3 linked regions of the Arabidopsis thaliana genome follow. The protein of the gene in region 1 purifies or fractionates together with the protein of each later gene. This does not show direct contact. Each region holds a gene or a part of one and is shown in the gene's direction. Other genes may lie near its edges.

Region 1 (4,741 bases):
TCCTCGAGAAGATATATATTTTGACTTGGTGCTGGCCATTTGTAAGAATAGCATAAGCCACCAGTCACCAAGATTATTCATCGTAAATTGTAACAAACTCACCATTATTTGGAGAGCCCAAAGATACTACTCAATCTTCTTACCATAAACTTTTGTCACTGTCTTATAAGCTATAAGATTACTGGTCTACTTAACTCAGAAATATTTATGTCCTTTGTAGCCAAAAGCTACACTGAAATTGACACAACTCGAGTGTTGTCCTTTTCTGGTCGATTGAATAGAATCGAATGTCTTAATCCAGTACCCTCCAGCTTTTATTTCGTGTAATTTATTTTCCAAACCTACCACTACCAGTTTCATAACTCTCGAATAAATTTATCAAATAGTCTTTTGAGTGCTCAAAGTCTTGGGATAATAAATGGTCAGTGCTATGTATCACCCGGATGTGAAACATTATGGGTGGAGATAGACTATTATAAATTTATTGAAATATACGATTGTTACTCGTTTAATAGCAAAAGTAGTACAATGTATATAGTTTCTATCGAGAACAAGATCTATTTAAAATTCGAAAAGTACATTTAAAATTCATAAACATATAAAGATAGTAACATGTTAGATCTGCATAGTACCACCAAAACAAGAAAAAAGAAACGCACATCGCCACATAATTGCTATGATTCTCACTGTCGGCTGCTTTGAAATATTACGATTCTTTTGGTAAATCACACAACATAATATAATTACAATAAATATATATATACTAAAGTATAATTAATATAATTAATACCACATTGTTTAATTCTGTTTTGATCTTTTAAGATCAGTCAGATCCACCGACGTTCCTACACGCGCAGGTCCAGATCCAAACAGCACACACACACACACAATGCCACTAGTGTAAATGCTTGGTGGCTATTGCATTTGCACCTATTGATACTCTTTCTTCAAAAACAAGTTATTGTTTTTATTTTCAACCCAACTTTAATACGGATTCATACTGGGATTTAGGTGTTAAATCTGATAATTTAGGTTTGAATAAGTTGTATATTTGTTTCTTTGATTAAAAAAAGAACCTATATATATACAAAAATAAATAAAAAGTTCTAGATTTCAATTTTCCGTATATAGCGGGTTGAATTGTCTATTTTAATATGAAAATTGACGGATCTTATAAACAAAATGTTCTGAAATATGTAAAAGGATTTAGCCAAAGTTAACCAAAAAAAAAAAACAAACAGAAAAGTCACATTCACATGTCGTGGTAGATCTAAGGCATTAATTTAGAAATATGTCGTTACAATAAGCGGAGAACATGGGACGTTTCTCGTGGTCCAATCAGACGAACGAGATCTCATAAATTAAATGACTTCAGACGAGGGAATTCATGGCAGAATGATAATGCAACTTAAGTGACTTTAGAGTGAAAATGATACGAGAACAATGCATAATCCATATGACCGTTGAGTGAGTGATACCATTAGCGCGATACAAGCGGGACTATAAACTGATCTAGATTGTTTTTCTTGGGAAAAAATGTTACAAATTTTAAATATGTAGTTTGAATTGTTAAACCAAGATTCAACAGAAATATACCGTAAATAAACAACAGTTGATAATAGTCATCGAAAAGATATCAACTGATTCTTCACTTGGGCTACTGTGACGGCCCGTTAGGGTTCTCAATATAAGTCAATAACTACGATCTACGATTCACTGAAACAAATAAAACACAGCCACGTGTCCACCCTCCCACATCACCGTCCGATCTAACCCACGACAAGCTTACAACACGGGTCATACCGCTCGTGCAGCGTGTTCCGTCATCCACGGGATTACAACTTCTACCAGATCCACCAAACCCTCAAAACAATCTGAACCGTTCATTTCATTTTGACCTCATCTATATATTCTCTGTCACTCCCTTTCTCTTCTCCTCGCACACACTTCTCTCTCTCTCTCTCTCTGCCTCCTTTCGGATTCAAATCTCAGATCTAGCTCAACCATGGCGTTGCTCGTCGAGAAGACCTCAAGTGGCCGTGAATACAAGGTCAAAGACATGTCTCAAGCCGATTTCGGTCGTCTCGAACTCGAGCTCGCCGAAGTTGAGATGCCTGGACTCATGGCTTGTCGTACCGAATTCGGACCTTCTCAGCCATTCAAAGGCGCTAGAATCACCGGATCTCTTCACATGACCATCCAAACCGCCGTACTCATCGAAACCCTAACTGCTCTCGGTGCTGAAGTCAGATGGTGTTCCTGCAACATCTTTTCCACTCAAGACCACGCCGCCGCAGCCATCGCTCGTGACTCCGCCGCTGTTTTCGCCTGGAAAGGTGAGACTCTTCAGGAGTACTGGTGGTGTACCGAGCGTGCTCTAGATTGGGGTCCAGGTGGTGGTCCTGATCTGATTGTTGATGATGGTGGTGACGCTACTCTTTTGATTCATGAGGGTGTTAAAGCTGAGGAGATCTTTGAGAAGACTGGTCAAGTTCCTGATCCTACTTCTACTGATAACCCTGAGTTTCAGATCGTGTTGTCTATTATCAAGGAAGGTCTTCAAGTTGATCCTAAGAAGTACCACAAGATGAAGGAGAGACTTGTTGGTGTCTCTGAGGAAACTACCACTGGTGTTAAGAGGCTTTACCAGATGCAGCAAAATGGAACTCTTTTGTTCCCTGCCATTAACGTTAACGACTCTGTCACCAAGAGCAAGGTATTGATCTTCAGATTTGTTTCTTTACTAGTGATGATAAATCTGCTAGGTCTTTAGCTCTGTAGTTTTTGATGCGATAGGCTTAACAACAACATAATCACTAAGTAGAAGCAAGCTTTTCATTGTTGGTTGTTGAAAGTATTACGATCTAGTAGAGAAAAGTCCTTCCTTGGTTACAGAATTTGCATGAAAAGTCAATATTTCTCATGCTTTCTTTGATTTTATATTCAACGTTTTGTTTACACTTATGTGCTGTTACTGATAAATTCATTTGTTCTTGATTTACAGTTCGACAACTTGTATGGTTGCCGTCACTCACTCCCTGATGGTCTCATGAGGGCCACTGATGTCATGATCGCTGGAAAGGTTGCTGTTATCTGTGGATATGGTGATGTTGGAAAGGGTTGTGCTGCTGCCATGAAGACTGCTGGTGCTAGAGTCATTGTGACTGAGATTGATCCCATCTGTGCCCTTCAAGCTTTGATGGAAGGACTTCAGGTTCTTACCCTTGAGGATGTTGTCTCAGAAGCTGATATCTTTGTCACCACCACCGGTAACAAAGACATCATCATGGTCGACCACATGAGGAAGATGAAGAACAACGCTATTGTGTGCAACATTGGTCACTTTGACAATGAGATTGACATGCTTGGACTTGAGACTTACCCTGGTGTGAAGCGTATCACCATCAAGCCACAGACTGACAGGTGGGTGTTCCCAGAGACCAAGGCTGGAATCATTGTCTTGGCTGAGGGTCGTCTGATGAACTTGGGTTGTGCCACTGGTCACCCAAGTTTCGTGATGTCTTGCTCTTTCACCAACCAGGTGATTGCCCAGCTCGAGCTCTGGAACGAGAAAGCAAGCGGAAAGTACGAGAAGAAGGTGTACGTTCTTCCCAAGCATTTGGATGAGAAGGTTGCATTACTTCACTTGGGCAAGCTTGGAGCCAGGCTTACAAAGCTGTCAAAGGACCAATCTGACTACGTCAGCATTCCAATTGAGGGACCATACAAGCCTCCTCACTACAGGTACTGAGAGAGAGAGAGAGTCGACAAAGCGGTTCAGGTTCGGATCTACTTGTGGTTTTGTGTTGGGTTGTGGTGGGAGAGTGGAACAGTTTGAGATATTGGTCTTCTGATGAAGTTGACCAAATATCAGTATTAATAAGGGTTATTGGCTTTTGAAGGTTGTGCTTGTTTTCTCCATTTTTCATGAAACTTAAATTAGTTTTTGGTTTAGTTTCCCTCTTGATTTTATTTTGTGTGTTCTGTTTAGCGTTGTACTCTTCAAACAAATGAGAAACCAAAAAAAAAGGGGAAACTTGTTTTCGGCATCCCAGTGTTAGCGACTTTTGTTGAATGAATGTCTCAAATGCTCATCTTTAATAATGTGTGTTAGGACACGAACAACACATGGTTCGATTCGTGGGGGATTTTATGGTTGTAGTTATTATCGTACACGTTTCAAAGTTCTCTTAAGTATTCAAAAAGGCTTTTCCAATATAAATTTTTGATAGCATTTAGCTATAAGATTCGTTTTCATTTTCTTCAATTCTATGTCATCACTGATAAAATCTGCTTTGAAAATTTCAAAATTTATTACTTTTGCAAGAAGAATGTGAACGTTCCTACAAAGAGAGGGGTAGAAAATAAAAACTGGACTCGAAGTAGGAACCCAAACCCGACTGAAAATACTCAAGAGTCCAAGCCCGTTCTAGATAAATACCAAAATGGGTCTTAAGGCTTGGTATTCGGGTACATGATAATATCTGATCCGAACTGAAACATGAACTGTTTACCCGAAACCAGTGGCGGAACTACGTAGGGGGCAGGTTAAAATTCAAAGTGGTGAACGAGTACGGCCTCGAGAGTTTATGGAGTAAGATTCGAATTAGCGTTTCCTACGAAACGCATGAAACCAGTACGTTCGACCAAGAATGATGAGGAGGTTCTTCTGGTTCTCGATGCAAACTTGGGCTTGTACAACTTTGAGTGTAGTACTTGAGAGGAATTAATCTAGAAATCC
Region 2 (5,317 bases), on another chromosome or scaffold:
TCCTCACGGACGAGAAACATTTTTTTACGTCTGGTAGGTTTAGTATACCAGTCGAGCGCAGAAATGGAAGCGGGTTTGAGAAAATAATCGGATATTGCTGTAGTTGAGCATTTACAGAAACTGCTACACAAATGGTTACTAGAACAAAAAGTACATTCTTTATCGTCATGATATATATTCTTATGGCAAAACAAAAGAAAAATTAAAATATTCTGATGTGTGATTCTTTTTCAAGTTTGTAACTGGGTGATGAAAATAACATGGGATTATTGTCTGATTTATATGAAAGAAATGAAGAACTGGCTTTAATTATCTTTAATGAAACTCGTTCGAGTATTTATTTGCCTATTTGGTAATTAATTTGCGGTTTCCAACATTGAAAAAGAGTTGAAAATGTAACGATTGTCTTTCAAAAAACGCATTATGAAAATGGAACCATGTCCATGTTAATATCACTCTCACCATTCTTAGTGTTATTAACTAATATATATTATGGAAGAGTTTTCTGTTCTCTTAATGTGTACATATCATCATGGTAAACATCCAATCAAACAAAGCCATGTCACCATTTTTTTTTTTTAACACTAAATTATAATTACAATGTTCATTTAATAAATATTTATTTCTATTAATATTAATTATTAACAAAAAACTAATAAAATAAAAAATGATTTTAAAATAGTAAAAGTCATAATGTGAAATTTTATTAGTAACAATAATATTATTAAAATTTTAACATAAACACAATTAAAAATGATCATACTTCAAAATACAAAAGAAAAAAAGAAGACAAAATTCAGAAAAAGAATCAAAAGATACATATGACATGTGAACAAATGGGTAGATTAGTATATATTACATGTTATACACATAATCATGTAGTCAACTTTTTTTAAGTTAGTTATTGAATTATTAAATTTTTATGGTCATACAGCCTAATTTCTCATGTATCAATTAGACCATTGTCGACAAAACAAAATAGAAAAAATAGTTGAATTGATTAGGCTCCATGTTTGACTGGTACGCCGTGTACTTGTCAATGTTCCGGACGGCGAATAGTATTTTTGATATTAGGAAATGGGGTTTACCTTCAAAATATTGGTGTGGACGGATTTGTGGATACTTGATCAGATATCAAAGGCGGCACAAAATGACCAACGATCGACGAAACAGTGCCCAAAATCAGAGTCAGAAGTGACTAGCTCGATAGCATGATCGATGCCCTTTCACCCATTTAAACCATTCCACCTAGAACACTTCAACACGACTGAAGCTAAAACTTTTGCATATCTCATAGAGATATGTTTGATAAGGTTGCTGAAAATAACAACTTCTACTATAATTTTGTCTTTTATTATTTCGACCTTCTCTTAAGAAATTCGCCCAAAAAAATTTCCAAATCAAAAAGTTGTTATTATCCTAACAGATCTTAAATTATATGTTTCGATTTTCGGTTATATACTGGTAAAATCTGAAATCCGAACATTAAAAAAAAATTGAAACCCAAACGGATACTCAAAAACACCTACAACCCAACCATTATACCAAAAAATAAAATCCAAACGTAAACCCAAAAAACACAAAACAATATATACACATATTTTTGGATTTTAAGGATCATTTGGAGCGTTTTTCTATATACATCGTTTAGGTTTTTGGAGTTTTTCGATTCAAAAATCGAATCAGAACATATTTCGATTCTATGGTCGCATTTTTTTTTTTTCGAGAACCATTCCGAACCCGTATAAATCCAAAACGAACCGATCGAAACATATTCAGTACCTTCCGAAATCTCCCTATCTAAAAAATCCAAAACCATGTCTTACCCTACAAATCCAAAACCCGAATTACCCTAATAAAATCCGATTCAAAGTCCGAATGTCTAAAAAATCCAAAACCCTATTTTACCCTACAAATCCAAAACCCGAATTATCGTAATAAAATCCAATCCGAAGTCCGAATGTTCAAGCCTAATTGAGCTACTCACTAACACACATCACACATGTGTAAATCACACCTAACTTCTCCTTCTATATATACGCCTTTGAAAGACCAATCCTAACTTTTCATTGTTTACTCTTTCGTCTTCCTTTTCAGAGTTCAATCACACAACACCTCTCTTCAATAGCAATAACCATGGCTCACACTCTCGGTCTCACTCAACCCAACTCCACTGAGCCTCACAAGGTTTGTTTCCTTCACTGTGATTTTGAAATGATTTTGTATGGAATCCAGTTTTGATTTAGTTCAAAGTTTTGATTTTTTGATTGATTCGAGTTTGAAGTTTTGATCTTTTGGTGACGATTATGCAGATCTCGTTCACTGCGAAGGAGATCGATGTAATTGAATGGAAAGGAGACATACTCGTAGTTGGTGTGACAGAGAAGGACTTAGCCAAAGACGGTAACTCAAAGTTTGAGAATCCGATCTTGAGCAAGGTCGATGCTCACTTAAGTGGACTTTTAGCTCAAGTCTCTTCCGAGGAAGATTTCACTGGGAAACCTGGTCAATCGACTGTTCTCAGGCTTCCGGGTTTAGGATCAAAGAGAATCGCTTTGATCGGTCTTGGACAGTCTGTTTCGTCTCCGGTGGCTTTTCATAGCCTTGGTGAAGCTGTAGCTACAGTTTCAAAAGCTTCTCAATCTACTAGTGCTGCTATTGTGCTTGCTTCAAGTGTTTCTGATGAATCTAAGCTTAGTTCTGTATCAGCTTTAGCTTCAGGTAACTTCAATTAGTATAACACAAGTTCGAGTCTTGTTTAGTACTGTTTTGGAAATTGGAACTGATTTGGGGTCTCATTGTTTATTTTTGGATAGGCATAGTACTTGGTTTATTTGAAGATGGTAGGTATAAGTCTGAATCAAAGAAACCATCTTTGAAAGCTGTTGATATTATTGGATTTGGAACTGGGGCTGAGGTAGAAAAGAAGCTGAAGTATGCTGAAGATGTTTCTTACGGTGTAATTTTCGGGAGAGAGCTCATTAATTCTCCTGCCAATGTGCTTACTCCTGGTATGAATTGTTGTCATTTATGAAATCAAATATTTTCGTGTTTGTGTGGTGTTCGCTGAGTTTTCCTAAACTGCTTTGATTTTTGTATCGTTTCAGCTGTACTAGCTGAGGAAGCAGCAAAGGTGGCTTCTACGTACAGTGATGTCTTCACTGCAAACATCTTGAACGAAGAGCAATGCAAAGAGTTGAAGATGGGTTCTTACCTAGCTGTTGCTGCTGCGTCGGCTAATCCTCCTCACTTCATCCACCTTGTCTATAAACCTCCGAATGGCTCTGTTAAGACCAAACTTGCTCTTGTTGGAAAAGGATTGACCTTTGACAGGTAACTAATCATTCTGTATTGCTTTGAATTTTACTCTGTTACGAGCTGGTATCTTTTCTTTGTTATTTTAGTGGTTGTTGATTTGAATATCTTGTGTACACAGTGGTGGCTACAACATTAAGACTGGACCTGGCTGCTCAATTGAGCTCATGAAATTCGACATGGGCGGTTCAGCTGCTGTTCTTGGCGCTGCGAAAGCTATTGGTGAGATTAAGCCTCCTGGTGTTGAGGTTAGTTTCTCCCATCAGATTCTTTTGAAAGCTATAGTTTGTTAACCGAACTGAACAGATTCGTCTTCCACAACCAGGTTCATTTCATCGTTGCAGCCTGTGAAAATATGATTAGTGGAACCGGAATGAGACCTGGAGATGTCATCACTGCCTCAAACGGAAAGACCATTGAGGTATCTGATGATTTTTTCCCCCTCAGAGTTGAGCTTTTACTGTTTTTCCTATGAAATGCTAATTGTTGGCGATGGTGTGTGTAGGTCAACAACACAGATGCTGAAGGTCGTCTAACACTCGCAGATGCTCTAGTGTATGCTTGTAACCAAGGCGTCGACAAGGTATTGCATTACTTTATTGATATGAGAAGCTAAAGGAGCTTGTTTCTGTTAAATTTATCCTTTCAGTTAAACATTGTCAAATATCTTGCAGATTGTTGACCTCGCTACTTTGACCGGGGCCTGTGTTATTGCTCTTGGAACTTCAATGGCAGGTACACAGCTCAAAAACCCTGCAGAAAAACTCAATCTTTGTGTCGTTTTTGAGTCCAAAATTGGCTCATGATGATCATTCTGTGTTCATTACTTGATAGGAATCTATACACCTAGCGACGAGCTTGCAAAGGAAGTGATTGCTGCATCAGAAAGGAGTGGAGAGAAGCTGTGGAGGATGCCACTGGAAGAGAGCTATTGGGAGATGATGAAGTCTGGAGTGGCTGATATGGTCAACACAGGCGGGCGGGCAGGAGGATCCATCACCGCGGCTCTCTTCTTGAAACAGGTGAAAACAAAGTCCCTTTAGAGGCTATACATACATGTTTTTGACAAAAAATTCGTCGGTGAAAGTAACTAAACCATCCTCTATTTTCTGTGGTATGGCAGTTTGTGAGTGAGAAGGTGCAATGGATGCATATCGACATGGCTGGACCGGTGTGGAACGAGAAGAAGAAGTCTGGGACCGGGTTTGGTGTTGCTACGCTTGTTGAATGGGTACAGAAGAATTCATCTTCGTGAATGAAACCTAGAGAGCGTGAGGGAGAGACTGTAGAGTTTTTCGGGTGTTGAAATGATTGCTGGTTTTTAATAAGGTCTCAAAAGTTACTATGTTTTCAGATGTTCTTAACTTGTTATGAAAAGTAAAATCGTCAAAAGTTGAATAAAGTGGTACTTTGTTTTAGTCGTGCAAAAATACTGTCTGAAATTTCTACTTTTGAAGTCTTCAACATTGGGTTCTCCTTTTCATTACTTTTTTCGGTAACCACTTCAAATTTTATGAACCATAATGTCAAATGCAATAATTGAACATCTTTTGAAAAAAAAACAGCATATGAGTGGTTACAAAACATGACTTTTATCTATCATAAAATAAAATATTTTTTTGATAATATTTTGAAGTAACTATTCTACTTAATACTCCTTTTGTTCCTTAGTACTGATTTTCTAACCGGTTTGCCCAGGTCCACGCCTTGAAGCACTGGGAAGTACACGAACCTTCACATTGTTGAAGATCTTTTGATCCCAAACCCTGTTTCCTATTTCTTTCAAAACAGAAAAAAAAGAAGCAACAATTAACAAATCATTTCTGTTATGCCAGTTTATTGCTTACGTATCTAGAGGAACCAATCCAAATTGAAAAAGAACTGTATGTCCATACCGGAATAATTATTACAAAAGCCAAAAATGAAGAGATATTATTACAATGATTCAGTTTTAGTTTTCATATATAATGAGCAAATCGTAAATTCAAACTGCGATGATAAA
Region 3 (5,076 bases), 7.0 Mb from region 1:
TGCTATTCTTCTCTCAAAGGGCTAGACTTTACCGTATCTCTCGTAAGAAGGACGAACCTTTGCATTTGTGTTTATGATTTATGATTGTTGCTAAAACCTTTCTCTTTATGTCCCTTTGCAGTTGGAACTAACCAAGGTTCTTCTATTGGGCTCGGCAAGCCAGACGATTATTGGTAGGCCTATTTTGCCAGATGCGACAGTTCATGCTGTAGTTGAAGAGCATGTAAGTGTCTCATTGACTTGCTTGGTGTTTTATAATACTAGTGAAGCTGTGCTTAAGAATAATTTACAATTGAAAAGAGGATAGATGAGAGTTTGCTTGCTGAATCCGGTGACTGAGAGAAACTAAATCAAACTGTCTGCTGATTAGTTTGTGAAAGTCTTGCAAGTCATTAGATTAGTGTTCATCTATCTCTACATCATCTGAATGTCTTGATTTAAGATGGGCTTGGAATGTAGAAGGATCTACTCATGTACCAGCATTACTCAACTAGTTTTTCCTTGATGCGTGACAGGCTTTGGATGAAAAAGTGCTCATTTTCAAAAAGAAACGAAGAAAGAATTATAGGAGAACGAGAGGACATCGACAGGTATACTTTATAACTCCTTGTTTAGATAGACAGTGTGTTTATTTCATCTTTGCCTTCTTCTAGTTCTTTCCACTGTGTTATGATTGTTGTTTTTGACCATTCAACACTTGTGTCCAGGAATTGACGAAGTTGAGAATAACCGATATACAAGGAATTGAAAAACCAGAACCGAAGATCGTCCATAAGCCTTCGAAAGAAGCTGTTACAGAACAGACGAAGGCTGAGCTAGTTGCTTAGAGATAAAATTTGCTTCTTTCTTTTTTGCTGATGCCGATACATTTGAAGTAAGTTAAATTATCACTTGCTGTTCACTAAGAACTAGATTTTAAAGTCGTTGAAATGATGAAAAGGCCTTCTTGGTAGTTAGTGGTAAGTAACTAGGCTCCTGAGATATGAAATGTGATTTGCCTTTCACTGTCTTGTTCTCCTTGCTCTTCATTTTGTATTTAAACTGGCTCATGCTTGTGGGAGCTGTTTGTTGCTTCTGTTTCAGAAATAAAGATTTGCGGAAACATCTCTCTCCTTATCTTCTCTATGCTTTGTACTTTGTACTGTACTACTGTGGTTTGGTTATGGTTTAATTTACTTCTTCATGCAAGTCTCGGTCACAGATATGAAACTGGTGGTAAATTGGTAATAACTGCAAGTCACATTACACTCAAAATCTCGATTTTTTCCACTATGACTCTTTAGATCAGGTGATTATTATTGTAACTATATATGGCAACCACTTCCTCATCAACAAATGATTCACAGAATTGATAGTACTTGGAACTGATTTATAATTTCTTTTATCAACATCGGAAAATCGTGTAAGAATGCCTTGAAATATTTGAATGTTTGTAAATAGTATCAAAACCATTGTTTGTATAAATATGTATAAAGAACTTAAACAAAAGCAATTTGGAGCCAAAGAGAATTATAAAGCTACACGAGTACGTAAGTCCATGGTTAAGATCGGGTCGGGTGGGGACGGGTTGGATAAAAGCAAACAATGAGTCAAGTAAAAGAAGAATCATCGTCAACAAGAGAGAGAGAGAGATAAGCACAAACGCGGCTTTTCTTCTCCTTATAAATAAGAGAAGCTCAGTGCGTTACTCAAATGGCCGTCACTTTGGTAACGTCCTTCGCTTCTTCGTCTTCTCGCTTCCATTTCCGCTCATTCTCCTCTTCTCCGTCGTCTCTCTCCTCTTGTTTCGTCCGATTCCAGTTCCCCTCTCGCCTTAGACTCGCTTTTGCCGTCACGCCTCTCTACTCTTCTTCTAGAGCCATGGCTCATACAATCTCACACGCTACTCTCGGCCTCACTCAGGCTAACTCCGTCGATCATCCTAAGGTTTGTTCCTGATCGCTTGCAGCATTATTCGATTTTGCTGTTATGTGTTTAAACTCGATACTAGTGAATGCTTTGTAGATTCGTCGCTTTACTGTTTCCGATTAAGATGATCCACTGATTTGCTGACTTCGATTATGGTCAAGTCTTGTCAGAGATTAGCTTTCGAGTTTGAATTTTTGTGGTTAATTGGATTCTGATTAGTCGAATTTGCTGTATCAGATCTCATTTTCGGGGAAGGAGATCGACGTGACGGAATGGAAAGGTGATATACTCGCTGTTGGAGTGACGGAGAAAGACATGGCTAAGGATGTGAACTCCAAGTTCGAAAACCCGATTCTGAAGAAGCTTGATGCTCACTTGGGTGGACTTTTAGCTGATGTCTCGTCTGAGGAAGATTTTTCTGGGAAACCTGGTCAGTCGACAGTTCTTAGGCTTCCGGGTCTTGGGTCTAAGCGAGTTGGTTTGATTGGTCTTGGAAAATCTGCTTCAACTCCTTCGGCTTTTCAGAGTCTCGGTGAGGCTGTTGCTGCAGCTGCTAAAGCTTCTCAAGCTAGCAGTGTTGCAGTTGTTCTCGCCTCCTCTGAGAGTGTTTCTAATGAATCTAAGCTCTGTTCTGCGTCAGCTATAGCTTCAGGTGTTTTATTTGTTGTTGTTGTGGTTTCGTCTATTAAAGCTCGAGAATGGTTGTTTCATTACCATTTTGGAACTGATCGTTATGTGGAATTGTTGTTTATTTTTACAGGCACAGTGCTTGGTTTGTTTGAAGACAGCCGGTATAAGTCTGAGTCGAAGAAACCATCACTCAAATCTGTAGATATCATTGGCTTTGGCTCTGGACCTGAACTAGAGAAGAAGCTTAAGTATGCTGAACATGTTTCTTATGGCGTTATTTTCGGGAAAGAACTCGTTAATTCTCCAGCCAATGTTCTCACTCCTGGTGAGGATTGTTTCTTGAGCATCAGTCTTAGACTTTTCATTTTTTTTTTTTTTAATAATGTGAGCATCATGTCTGTTGAAGTTTATTTCAAACATTTTTCTCTAATCTGCTTTGTATCTTACAGCCGTACTAGCTGAGGAAGCCTTGAATCTGGCTTCCATGTACAGTGATGTCATGACTGCCAACATCTTGAACGAGGAGCAATGCAAAGAGTTGAAGATGGGTTCATATCTTGCTGTAGCTGCTGCTTCAGCTAATCCACCTCATTTCATACATCTTATCTACAAACCTTCTAGTGGCCCTGTTAAAACAAAACTTGCTCTTGTTGGAAAAGGATTGACATTTGACAGGTACTAGAGCTGTTGGCTTCTGTTTGCCGCATCAATCTCTTTATTTAATACTTATTAGTTATTGACCAGATGGTTTTTGTTCACAGCGGTGGCTACAACATTAAAACCGGGCCTGGCTGCTTAATTGAGCTCATGAAATTCGATATGGGAGGTTCAGCTGCTGTTCTTGGCGCTGCAAAAGCCATTGGTCAAATTAAGCCTCCAGGTGTTGAGGTAAGTTTATCACACGGAGCTTGCGTTTCTGAGTTAAATGAATGTACCTAAACAAATGCTTCGTTGCACAATCAGGTGCACTTTATTGTCGCAGCTTGTGAGAATATGATAAGTGGTACTGGAATGAGACCTGGAGATGTCCTCACAGCCTCAAACGGAAAGACGATTGAGGTATCATAACACCGTTTCCATATGAATTCAGCTTCAAAAGGTTCGAGCTTTCCATTGTTAGTTTTACGCCAAACTAATTGTGGGTGGTATTGCAGGTCAACAACACCGATGCTGAAGGTCGACTAACACTTGCAGATGCTTTAGTTTATGCTTGCAACCAGGGTGTCGATAAGGTATTGTTTCAAAGATTCTTCGACTTATTAATACATTCTTTCTGTTGGTTTTTCTCTCAAGTCTCAACTTGTGAATTACAATATTTGCAGGTTGTTGACCTTGCAACATTGACTGGGGCTTGTATTATTGCTCTTGGAACATCAATGGCAGGTACATAGTCTTGTGTTTTAAATAAGACAGAATAAAATTCTTTCGTGATGGTTGACTATTGGTTTTTCTGCAGGCATATATACACCTAGTGATAAGCTTGCAAAGGAGGTGATTGCTGCATCAGAGAGGAGTGGAGAGAAGTTATGGAGAATGCCTATGGAAGAGAGTTACTGGGAGATGATGAAGTCAGGTGTTGCAGATATGGTTAACACTGGAGGCCGTGCAGGTGGATCCATTACCGCGGCTCTTTTCTTGAAACAGGTGAGTATATCATAAGAGTGGAAACAAAAGAACACATTTCAATACTGACGCTATTGTTCTCTAACGAAGAACCGGGTTTGGTTAATGGTTGCAGTTTGTGAGCGAGGATGTTGAGTGGATGCACATAGATATGGCTGGACCAGTGTGGAACGAGAAGAAGAAAGCTGCAACTGGGTTTGGAGTTGCGACACTAGTTGAGTGGGTACAGAACCATTCTTCTTCTTAAGATGAAGTCTGGTGATCTCTGACTGATGTGAACTAGTTGTGTTTTTGCTTTGTGTGGTGGGACAAGTTTTTTTTTTTTGTGCAACTAAGTATGACAAGTTAAATCAATCAGAAGATTAGTTTTGTTGTTGTATGCTTACCTAGTCTAAACTTAAATTCAACAACCACCGTGAGAGACACAGTTGAGCCACCGTTGTTGCTGTGTCCCGTCATGTTGTTGTATTTGAATGGGTCCGTGAGTTGTTGAGAAGGAGAGATAGTCGCCGTTCATCACCACTACAGCCACCGTGTGTCACCGGAGAGTGACACCACGAGTCACAGGATGTCAACCGCTGTCACCGGAGTAGTCGTAGTCCATCGCCAAGGCCGTTAAGGGTAAGGAAACCCTAGATCTATTATGTAACTTGCTCAGGAAGTTTTTGGCTTTCTCTTATGATCTGTGCTTTGTTTTGGTTTTGATTGTTGAGCTATGAGACCTTACTGCCGTGAGCTTAAACCGCCTCATCGAGCCCCGAGCAGATCCACCGAGAGTAATCGCCGAGAAAGGTAACGGCGAACCTTATCTCCCGTGTTTGTTGTTGATTATTGAACCGGATCTTAACCAGTCTAAACCAATGACTCTTAATTTAGTTAAGACCAGAACCGAAACCAATGACAATTTGCGTTGTT

Evidence for each region. Proteins that work in one complex are often made in the same cells at the same time.
Region 2: the proteins of HOG1 (region 1) and LAP1 fractionate together in Arabidopsis thaliana (co-fractionation; one large-scale study listed by BioGRID). This does not show direct contact.
Region 3: the proteins of HOG1 (region 1) and LAP2 fractionate together in Arabidopsis thaliana (co-fractionation; one large-scale study listed by BioGRID). This does not show direct contact.

Annotation. Positions count from the first base shown.
Region 1 is NC_003075.7:8,052,926-8,057,666, forward strand, and holds HOG1 (S-adenosyl-L-homocysteine hydrolase), read left to right. Parts: upstream 1-1,747; 5' UTR 1,748-2,005; coding exon 2,006-2,716; intron 2,717-3,004; coding exon 3,005-3,751; 3' UTR 3,752-3,781; coding exon of another isoform or gene 3,782-3,838; 3' UTR 3,839-4,227; downstream 4,228-4,741. UniProt on the Arabidopsis thaliana protein: Essential protein during embryogenesis.
Region 2 is NC_003071.7:10,286,270-10,291,586, reverse strand, and holds LAP1 (Cytosol aminopeptidase family protein), read left to right. Parts: upstream 1-1,901; 5' UTR 1,902-2,136; coding exon 2,137-2,187; intron 2,188-2,312; coding exon 2,313-2,721; intron 2,722-2,816; coding exon 2,817-3,011; intron 3,012-3,107; coding exon 3,108-3,333; intron 3,334-3,436; coding exon 3,437-3,563; intron 3,564-3,640; coding exon 3,641-3,736; intron 3,737-3,820; coding exon 3,821-3,898; intron 3,899-3,989; coding exon 3,990-4,050; intron 4,051-4,149; coding exon 4,150-4,337; intron 4,338-4,438; coding exon 4,439-4,570; 3' UTR 4,571-4,781; downstream 4,782-5,317. Other genes in the region: AT2G24205 (ECA1 gametogenesis related family protein), read right to left, coding at 1-169; AT2G24195 (uncharacterized protein), read right to left, coding at 4,997-5,094. UniProt on the Arabidopsis thaliana protein: Presumably involved in the processing and regular turnover of intracellular proteins. Catalyzes the removal of unsubstituted N-terminal amino acids from various peptides.
Region 3 is NC_003075.7:15,045,921-15,050,996, reverse strand, and holds LAP2 (Cytosol aminopeptidase family protein), read left to right. Parts: upstream 1-1,558; 5' UTR 1,559-1,692; coding exon 1,693-1,926; intron 1,927-2,145; coding exon 2,146-2,560; intron 2,561-2,668; coding exon 2,669-2,863; intron 2,864-2,987; coding exon 2,988-3,213; intron 3,214-3,299; coding exon 3,300-3,426; intron 3,427-3,501; coding exon 3,502-3,597; intron 3,598-3,692; coding exon 3,693-3,770; intron 3,771-3,860; coding exon 3,861-3,921; intron 3,922-3,994; coding exon 3,995-4,182; intron 4,183-4,276; coding exon 4,277-4,408; 3' UTR 4,409-4,540; downstream 4,541-5,076. Other genes in the region: NFD1 (Ribosomal protein L21), read left to right, coding at 122-223, 516-590, 708-827. UniProt on the Arabidopsis thaliana protein: Presumably involved in the processing and regular turnover of intracellular proteins. Catalyzes the removal of unsubstituted N-terminal amino acids from various peptides.